Nothobranchius furzeri: one gene and its partner. Each later gene encodes a partner of the first gene's protein in a complex. Links are inferred from orthologs where the notes say so. Each region holds a gene or a part of one and is shown in the gene's direction. Other genes may lie near its edges.

Region 1 (4,307 bases):
ACAGAACTAATGATTCAACACCAAGGGTGTCATCTGATGAGGACACAGTGGGTGTTAAATCGTTAGTTCTGTTTGCACAATGAAGCTTGAAATTCATCAGTGAGATCCAGTTCCTATGTTTGATATCTGAAGCAATCACTCTGCTAAATGGAAAAAACACACAGATTATCTACGACACTTTAATATAACTGATTTGTTTTTCTTTCTTTTATCGATCAGGATGGTCACCGTCTCTAAAGATGGAACGTGGAAGCTGTGGAACACAGATGTAGAGTACAAAAAGCAGCAGGATCCTTACCTCCTGAAGACGGTCCCTTGCTCCTCCTCCGAAGGCAGCAGAGTGGCTTTGTCCCCTGATGGCCGTGTTGTGGCCATCAGCAATGGTTGTAACATAGCGATGTACGATGCTGCCACTGGGAATCTGGAGAAGGAACTGCACGGTGTCCACAGTGAAAACATCTCCGACCTCAGGTTTGACATTAACAGCCGCTTCTTGGTGTGCAGCGGCGACAAGGCTATCAGAGTGTTTCATAATGCGCCAGGCTACCAGGCTGCTATCAAAGACATGCAGGACATGCTGAAAAAAGCCCAGAACGAGGCTATGAAGCAGAGACTGCAGCAGCAGATAAAAGATGCTCAGAGCGCTCTGGACACTGTGCTCACTGCTCGGATCGAGTGAAAGAATGCACAAAGAGCCACCATGTGATTGTGATGTGTCATGTTTTTGTCAACATCCAGTTTCCCTTTTCTGCTCATTAATTTGTGCAGGAAGCAACGGGTTATGCATGCAGTTTTAATAAAGAATACATTTTTATGCAAAGATGAAATGTGTTGTGGATGTGTGTGGTTTGATTTAAAGTTAGGAAACCAAAAACACGGTAATGAAGATGGTCTACAATACCAAAGTGAACGCTCTTGTCACAGCATCATATCACAAAACGAGTAAATGCTTAAAGAGAAAGAATTTACTTACTGAATAATTAAATAAAAAGTGATTTAAAAGTAGCATGGGTTAATTGTCACTAAATTCATATTAAAGTCTGGATTTAGTTTTTGCCAATTGAATAAGAAACATTAGTTATAGTACCTCTCAAGATAAAATTCAGGAGGCGCTTATTGAGGTCTTTGTTAGAAAAACAAGATTAAACCCTGAGAATGCTCTTTCCTAAATAAGCTTCAGTAGCTTTCACTTAGATTTTAACTGAAAAAAAAAGATACAGTCAGAAAAACCCTCAACATCAAGAAGTTTCCATGGATATGGATCTGGCCCTGGTTTAGACTGTTCCACCTTCCCACAAAAAACGCTGATGATCAAAACAAAGTTTATTGAAAGAACAAAAAAATGGGGGTTTACATCATGTTGTCACCGGCGCACGTGGAGGTGCAACTACTGGGCAGCATTCTTTAACGATGAAATCCGAGTCTTGCGCCGGCCTATCGCTAAAGAGCAACCCTCATCTGAATTGACCCGGAAGTGGTTTGTGTCTGTGGAAACACGTTTTCCTCCCGTAGCAGCATGTTGATCAGAGGTGGTTCTGAGAGCAGATGTCTGTAGAGATGGTGGAACTGTTGGTGAAGGCAGCGGAGCCGCTGCGACCGGCCGGGGTTTTACAGCAGAACCGGGTCTTCCTCGACTTCTTCTGGGATTTAGCTAAACCGGATCAGGAGGTCCGACTGAAGGCCGTGGAGAACCTGATCCAGTACCTGAAAACAGAAAACAAGGTGAGAAACTGCCTGGACACGATCCAGACTCAGATGCATTATGTCCTCTGAAGTTAAAGTTTTAGTAAATCAGAATAAAAGTTTTTAGATTCAAATGATTATATCACTGACTAAATTGTCAATTTCTTAATAAAATCGCCTACGTTTTGGTTTAAAAAACTTTTTCTTCATAATTGGACAATAACTCAAAGAAAATCAAGTTTTAACGGACTAAATTAGTTTCTGTTAAAAACAATTTCACTAGTGTTTAACAATCAGCTAAAAGTTCACAACAAAGTAGAAGGCGTTAATTAAATATAAAAATAAAGTATAAAGCAAAGTGCAAGTTTAATACCGGTATATCAAAACAAAAATAAAATGTTCATCAAGTCATTTATACTCAAAGATAAAGACATGAGTTTTAAATGGCCTGTATTTGTATAGCGCCCCCAAGACGCTTCACAGCACAATCACACATTTACACACTGGTAGGGATGAGCTACCATGTAGCCACAGCTGGCCTGGGGCTCTTCTGAGAGTAGTGATGTCTAAATGTTCCCAGTCTCAGTGGTGTGTAGAAAGTTTTACGGATGTTGTTTCTGTCCTGCAGGCCGATGAACTGGATTACACGTTTAAACGTCTGGTGGACGGACTGTCCCACACCCGGGAGACAGCCAGGCCTGGGTTCAGCCTGGCTCTGGGACAGGTGAGGGCACCGCCAGCCCGCTTGATTGGTCGATTCAACTTTAAAGTTCACCAGTTTGTAGAAATCAAAAAACTTCAATGTTTCAAATTAAGCGATAAGTTTCCTCTTTCAGGTCTTGAGTGCCTTTAAGGACGTCTCCCTGCAGAGTATACTGAACAGAATCAAAGAGAAACACAACATACAGGCTGTGAAGAAGGTGAGTTTAGATGCTCAGGACTCCTTTGGCATCAGGAACTTCACTAACGGGCGTTTCCACTCACCAAAATCACGTTGTTTCATAGAAACTTGCCAGAAATGCGATGTTCGGAAACTTGTTTGGCGTCCTCGCTCTTCATCAGTCTGGACGTCTCGCTGAAGTGAGTTGGGAGTTTTTTTTTTTTTTGTTTTTTAAGGTTAACATTCTAAAGAGTCAAAAACACTTATAGCAGCTCTGATCTCTGCAGGAGCCACAGGTGGTGTTGGGATGTGTGACGCTCCTCCAGAGTCTGACTCAGCACAAGCAGCACCTGAAGGACCTGCCCAGTAAAACCATGGTGGACATCCTCACTGAGGTGACCGCTGCGTCCTGGTTGCAGCTTTCCACTTTGTATCAGTTTAACCTCAAAACGCACTCACATGCTGCCCTCTTGGCCTTCAGATCCCAGAGGAGGTGTTCGAGGAGGTCCTGCTGGGCGCCCTGCAGACTGACCTGGCGTCAGCCTTCAACACTCCCGAGCAGCTGCAGCTGCTGTTGGTGGCGCTGCAGCGCTTCCCTCAAACTCTCAAGCCGAAGAAACTCAAGAAGCTGCTGGGCTCCTCCACCATCATTAACGCTGACAACATTCCAAAGTGAGAATTCGGGAATCAGGTCTCAAAATACGCATTCAACCGTCTCCTCCTGCTTATTATCATTAAAAACCTTATCTGTCAGATTGATAGAGGTGTTAAAGATGGCAGCTCACTCTGTGAAGAAGGAGTTAACTCTACCAGCCGTTGCTCTGGACCTCCTGAAGCTCTCTCTGAAGGAGGACAGCTTCCAGCTCTTCTGGAACAAAGCCATCACAGAGGGAATGTTCAGGGAGCCGTTCGGAGTGACTCAGTGAGTTTATTACGAGGATGTGAATGAATCGGACCCAAAACGTGGAAACAAAGCTCTAAAATGTGAAAAGTGTAGTTTTTATTTTCTTGTATGACTTTGTTCTTCCCTGCAAGTGAATTTTTATTCTAACATCCAGCCTTCCCATTGTTGATTCTGTTCAGTTATCTGAGCTTCCGCCTGCTGGGAAGCGCCCTCCCTCTGCTGTCGTTGTCCCAGCTGAAGACGGTCTTATCTGGAGAAGTGATGATGCACTACGGAGAACACGTTCTTGCATCTCAGGTTAGTTCCAGGGTGAATTTTAGATTTCACTCGAATCAGAGGAATAACAAGTGAGGTCTTGGTGAGCTGTAGATCTGGATGGCTGTTTTTCTTTTCCAGAAACCGGGCCGCTTCAAGCTGGCCCCGGAGATGGACACCTACGTGTTGGACTTCCTGCAGGCCTGTCAGGACTCAGACAAGCAGCTGGCGGTCATGGTGGGCTTCTCCTCGCTGACCCACTTGGGTTTGCCTGTGGTGTTGCCAGTGTGGAAGGTGGTGCAGCATCTTCAGCCTGCAGCCTTGCAGAGCTACGTGGAGTGGCTTAAAGGAATGTTTCTTCAGCCTCGGATGGAAGAGCTGCTGGACTTCAGCACCCGCAAGCAGAAGGGCAAGCAGGAGGGTGGAGAGCAGTGAGTTTATACGCCCGCTTCTTTAGCTGACTGAAAAAACACCTTTTAACTCTAATGCTCCTTCAGGAAGGACAGCGCCGTTTTCCACCTGAGGAGGTGGATTGTTTCTCGACTTGCCTCCATCATCGACAACAGTCAGGTGAAGAAGCAGGAG
Region 2 (4,229 bases), on another chromosome or scaffold:
TCTTAGAAGACGGTAATTAGTACGTCAATTTAGTAATTCTGATGTTAAAAACATTAGATGCAACTATCTCAAATTCCCAATCCCTCCTAATGCCAAGGAAGTTTATTTTAAAACTATAAACAGTATTTATCCTTGCAAAGATTTCTTGCTGTCTAAATTTAATATTGGAGAGAACGATTGTGCCTTTTGCACTTCTAATATAGAAACTGAGATACATTTATTTTTCACATGCATCTTTACCAAAATTTTCTGGGATAGTTTTCACTCGTGGTTAACGCATAATAATTTCATTATACGCTCCTTATCTTCGACAGGCGGATTGGTTCGGCATCTGCAGTGATGCGGACGCTGAGCCGATCTGTCGTGGGGAAGAGGGAGCTGAGCCAGAAAGCCAGGCTCTCGATTTACCGGTCGATCTACGTCCCAATCCTCACCTATGGTCATGAGCTTTGGGTAATGACCGAAAGAACGAGATCGCGGATACAAGCGGCCGAAATGAGTTTCCTCCGTAGGGTGGCCGGGCTCAGCCTTAGAGATAGGGTGAGGAGCTCGGACATTCGGGAGGGACTCGGAGTAGAACCGCTGCTCCTCCGGATCGAAAGGAGCCAGTTGAGGTGGTTTGGGCATCTGGTCAGGATGCCTCCTGGACGCCTCCCCGGGGAGGTGTTTCGGGCATGTCCTGCCGGCAGAAGGCCCCCGGGTCGACCCAGGACACGTTGGAGAGGTTACATCTCCAATCTGGTCCGGGAACGCCTTGGGGTCCTGCCGGAGGAGCTGGTGGACAAGGCCGGGGAGAGGACGGCCTGGAGCTCCCTAATTGGGATGCTGCCCCCGCGACCCGGACCCGGATAAGCGGAGGAAGACGACGACGGCTCCTTATCTTTTTCTGACATCAAGTATGTTATTAGTTTGGAAAATAAAATGCAGCAATTCACTGTCAATAATTTGATTATTTTCGCCAAATTCTTTATACACAAATGTAAATTTGGCAATATCAAACCGATCTTTATTGTTTTTTTGAAAGAACTTGCATCCTTCATGGATTCTCTTAAATTATGTAGTTCCAAGAAAGCCATTTGGCTCTATAACAATTTGGTGAATGTTTCCTTTACCCCTAATAATGTTGTTTGATGTAATATATGTATATATTTATTTGGTTATGACTTCTGCAGGTTGATATTGAGCTAGGTTAATATTATTGTTTCTGTTTGTACACCTGCTTTTTTTTGTCATGCTCAGAATTCATCTGTAAATATTGATTCTTATGTAAGCCTGTAAGCTTCATTGGTTAAATAAAACTTGTTAAAAAAAAAAAAACAAAGAGCTCCATTGTGGGGGCTTGGTTTTAGCATAAAGCGATTCCAGTAACGGTAGGGGCCGGTAGTGAGACAACAACGTGACGTCTGCAGCACTCATCCAATCAGCACCGTGGGCGCCGTTGTAGTCCCAGCCCACATAGCATATCGCTCTCATGAGTGACAGGCGGGTTGCGGTTCTGTTTGCTCGGTTCTTCGGGAACAGGTAAAGTTATTGCGTTTTCTTCCCGCCGTAGACGGCTTGCTTGGGGGCATGAAAGCGGAACTTGCTGTGCCTCATCGTGTCGCTGTTTGGTCTGTTGAATCTTGTCGGAGCTAGCTGTGGTGTTAGCTGCAGCGGCTAACCCCGCGCATATTTTCCGCTGCTTAAACTTAACGTTTACATTGCCCGGTAAACCGATGGCTTGACTGAATGACTTCCGCTAACTAACCAATTGGCGCAGCCTTGACGCGGAAGTGAGGTAGTATTTTGAGTTTATTGGTCAGTTTTTCGGCGCGGCTAACTAATCGGCTAAGTTGTTTGAAAGCTATAGTTTCCGCGCGCTTGTCCGCGTGCACATGAAATAAATAAAAAAGATTAAAGTAGTCAGCTGCATGTTACCGTTTCCGCTAATATCAACATCAACTCATGAGGTTAAGTAAGTGTGTGTGTGCGCGCGCGTGTGTATAAGAGGCACCGGACTCCATCCGTCCTTCTTGTTTTTAGAATACAAAGCGTGGTTTTGGTGATCCATTGGTTAACTGTGATCCGTTATCAGACTAGTGACTTATCAGAAGCTTGAACACACTTCGGCACCGGAGCTACCGGACAGAACACTCACTCTGGATCCACAGACCGGATCATGTCTTCATGACTGTTTGTAATCAAATTCATGCTCCTGGGCAACATGAGCTGAAACCTTTACTGAATTAAACCAATTACCATACCAAATTTATTTATAAAAGCACAATAAACAGCGTGAGAGCTGACCACAGCGATGTACACCACAAAACCACACAAAGACCAATAAAACTAAATTAAACAAATACATGTAAAACACATGAACTACACACCACAAAAGTTTGACTTCAGTCTGCTAGTGAAGTAAAGGTCTGACTGCATGTGGTCTAAAGAACAGGAGAAGCTTTTCATGTTGTCTTTTCTTAGTGGGGCGGGCAGGTTTAGTTTATGTGGTGACGTATTTGGGCTCAGACCTTTACTAAAACCAGGGTTTCTTAGACTTTTAACTCAGCTTTGTGGAACAGACCTGTGGATGCGACAGGTGTGTCAGAGTAACTCTGCAAGTGGAGGAGCAGTTGAAAGCTGAGCTTTGCTCTTATTTAGTTAGCTGTAAGCATAGCATCATAAACCTGGTGTGTTCTTTCAGGATCAATTAAACGGGGACTCAAAGCAGCTGTGCAGACATGAGCGACGCGGCGGAGGAAGCGATGGACAGCTCCGTGGGATCTGAGGAGGACGTTGAGGATCAGCAGGAGACAGTGCTGGAGGATGAGACGAGTCCAAACAAAAATAGCTCCAAGAAGTCTGGTGAGGAGAGTTGTCTGATTGCACTGTCACTCGTGTTGGGTTGTTCCTTTCTGGGTTCTGTAAAGGTTTATTTGTCTGGAACAGCTTCAGCATGCTGACATGTTCTTTCCGTTACAGCTGTGGGTGAAATCATCGAAGGGAAGCGAGTGAAGAAGACTGTGGAGAGACTGGATCTCCAGGCGCCAAAAACCAAAGAGAAGTTGAAGATCGGAGATGGTGTGCAACAAAAGAGGTTTAGATGTGTATGAATACAAACCAACAGCTGGTTAACATCTGGTGTTTGCAGGCAGTGGAGATAAACTAGGAGACATCCCTCGAACCAATCATCAGATCACCAGGATGAAGCTGGTGGATCTGAAACAGCTGCACATGCTCCTGTTTGACAGACCGGGAAAGGTACAAACAGCTGAACCGAACCCAGAAAACTGACCTGAGCACAGCTCCAAAATCACCTGTTCATCTCCAACCAGAAAAGTCCCCATTCTGATTGATCAAGTACCCAATGACCACTTTTCAGTAGTTATTTACAGGCAGGTGTCAGCTGCAGGTGGGAGTTATTCATGTGTTCATGTTCAGTAATCCCACAGAAAAATATGTGAAGTAACAAAGGGGAAAAGCACCAGCTTCAGTCTTGAGTTCTTCATAGAAACACCCCAGAGTCAAACGTGAAACTGCTTTTTGTCTCTCAGATGGCCACACTCAAGAAGAACCTGCGGCTGTTCAACGGCTTCCCTTTTGACGTCGACAGCGAGCAATACAACAAGAAACGAGAAAAGCTTCTCAAGTAAGTTCCTGTTAGCTGCCTGACCCGACTGAAGGATAGGACCTACTGGTGATGGCCAGGTGAAGCTGCATGAAGCTTCCATCCCAGTGGTCCAGAAAGAGGCTGGAGATCACGCGTGTGTTTGGTGTGAAGCTGAGCAGATACATGAATGTTTGTAAAGCCAGATGTTTGTTTGGAGTTTTAATTATAAAAAAAGAGCAAGCAGTCTGGCACACACACACACACACACACACACGGAATAAGCAGCACTTTGCTGCTCTTTTTACATTCAGTCTCGCTCAGACCGATGATGCGGGTCCTGGGTTGGGACCATGGCCTGGCCTGCGAGGCTTTAGACACCACCACACATCAGCACAGGCCTGGACACAGGACTCGTCCCTAGCTCCCAGATGTGCAGATATAATTTATGGTTTGTGTTTGAGGGTTCAGTCAAGATCCTTCCATAAACATCCCGCGTATCGTTTCAGAAACTCCAGCTTCACCAACACCAAGCTGAAGGTTGTCTGCACTGTTCTGGATCTGGAAAAGAAAGGAACCCACTCTGATCTGATTGACCGGATTCTGACCTTCCTCATTTCCCCAAAGAACAGCGGGAAGGTGA

Evidence for each region. Proteins that work in one complex are often made in the same cells at the same time.
Region 2: mybbp1a (region 1) and dek share a complex: the UniProt entries of both Homo sapiens proteins name them as parts of the B-WICH complex. The link is inferred for Nothobranchius furzeri from reciprocal best matches to the Homo sapiens genes MYBBP1A and DEK.

Annotation. Positions count from the first base shown.
Region 1 is NC_091750.1:52,603,295-52,607,601, reverse strand, and holds the start of mybbp1a (myb-binding protein 1A-like protein), read left to right. Parts: upstream 1-1,469; 5' UTR 1,470-1,545; coding exon 1,546-1,722; intron 1,723-2,311; coding exon 2,312-2,407; intron 2,408-2,519; coding exon 2,520-2,603; intron 2,604-2,688; coding exon 2,689-2,763; intron 2,764-2,850; coding exon 2,851-2,958; intron 2,959-3,044; coding exon 3,045-3,235; intron 3,236-3,317; coding exon 3,318-3,485; intron 3,486-3,646; coding exon 3,647-3,764; intron 3,765-3,863; coding exon 3,864-4,153; intron 4,154-4,219; coding exon 4,220-4,307. Other genes in the region: tbl2 (transducin beta-like protein 2), read left to right, coding at 220-679. UniProt on the Homo sapiens protein: May activate or repress transcription via interactions with sequence specific DNA-binding proteins. Repression may be mediated at least in part by histone deacetylase activity (HDAC activity).
Region 2 is NC_091745.1:58,973,600-58,977,828, reverse strand, and holds the start of dek (protein DEK), read left to right. Parts: upstream 1-1,409; 5' UTR 1,410-1,521; intron 1,522-1,663; exon of another isoform or gene 1,664-1,777; intron 1,778-1,832; exon of another isoform or gene 1,833-1,954; intron 1,955-2,683; 5' UTR 2,684-2,720; coding exon 2,721-2,844; intron 2,845-2,961; coding exon 2,962-3,060; intron 3,061-3,130; coding exon 3,131-3,240; intron 3,241-3,533; coding exon 3,534-3,628; intron 3,629-4,095; coding exon 4,096-4,225; intron 4,226-4,229. UniProt on the Homo sapiens protein: Involved in chromatin organization.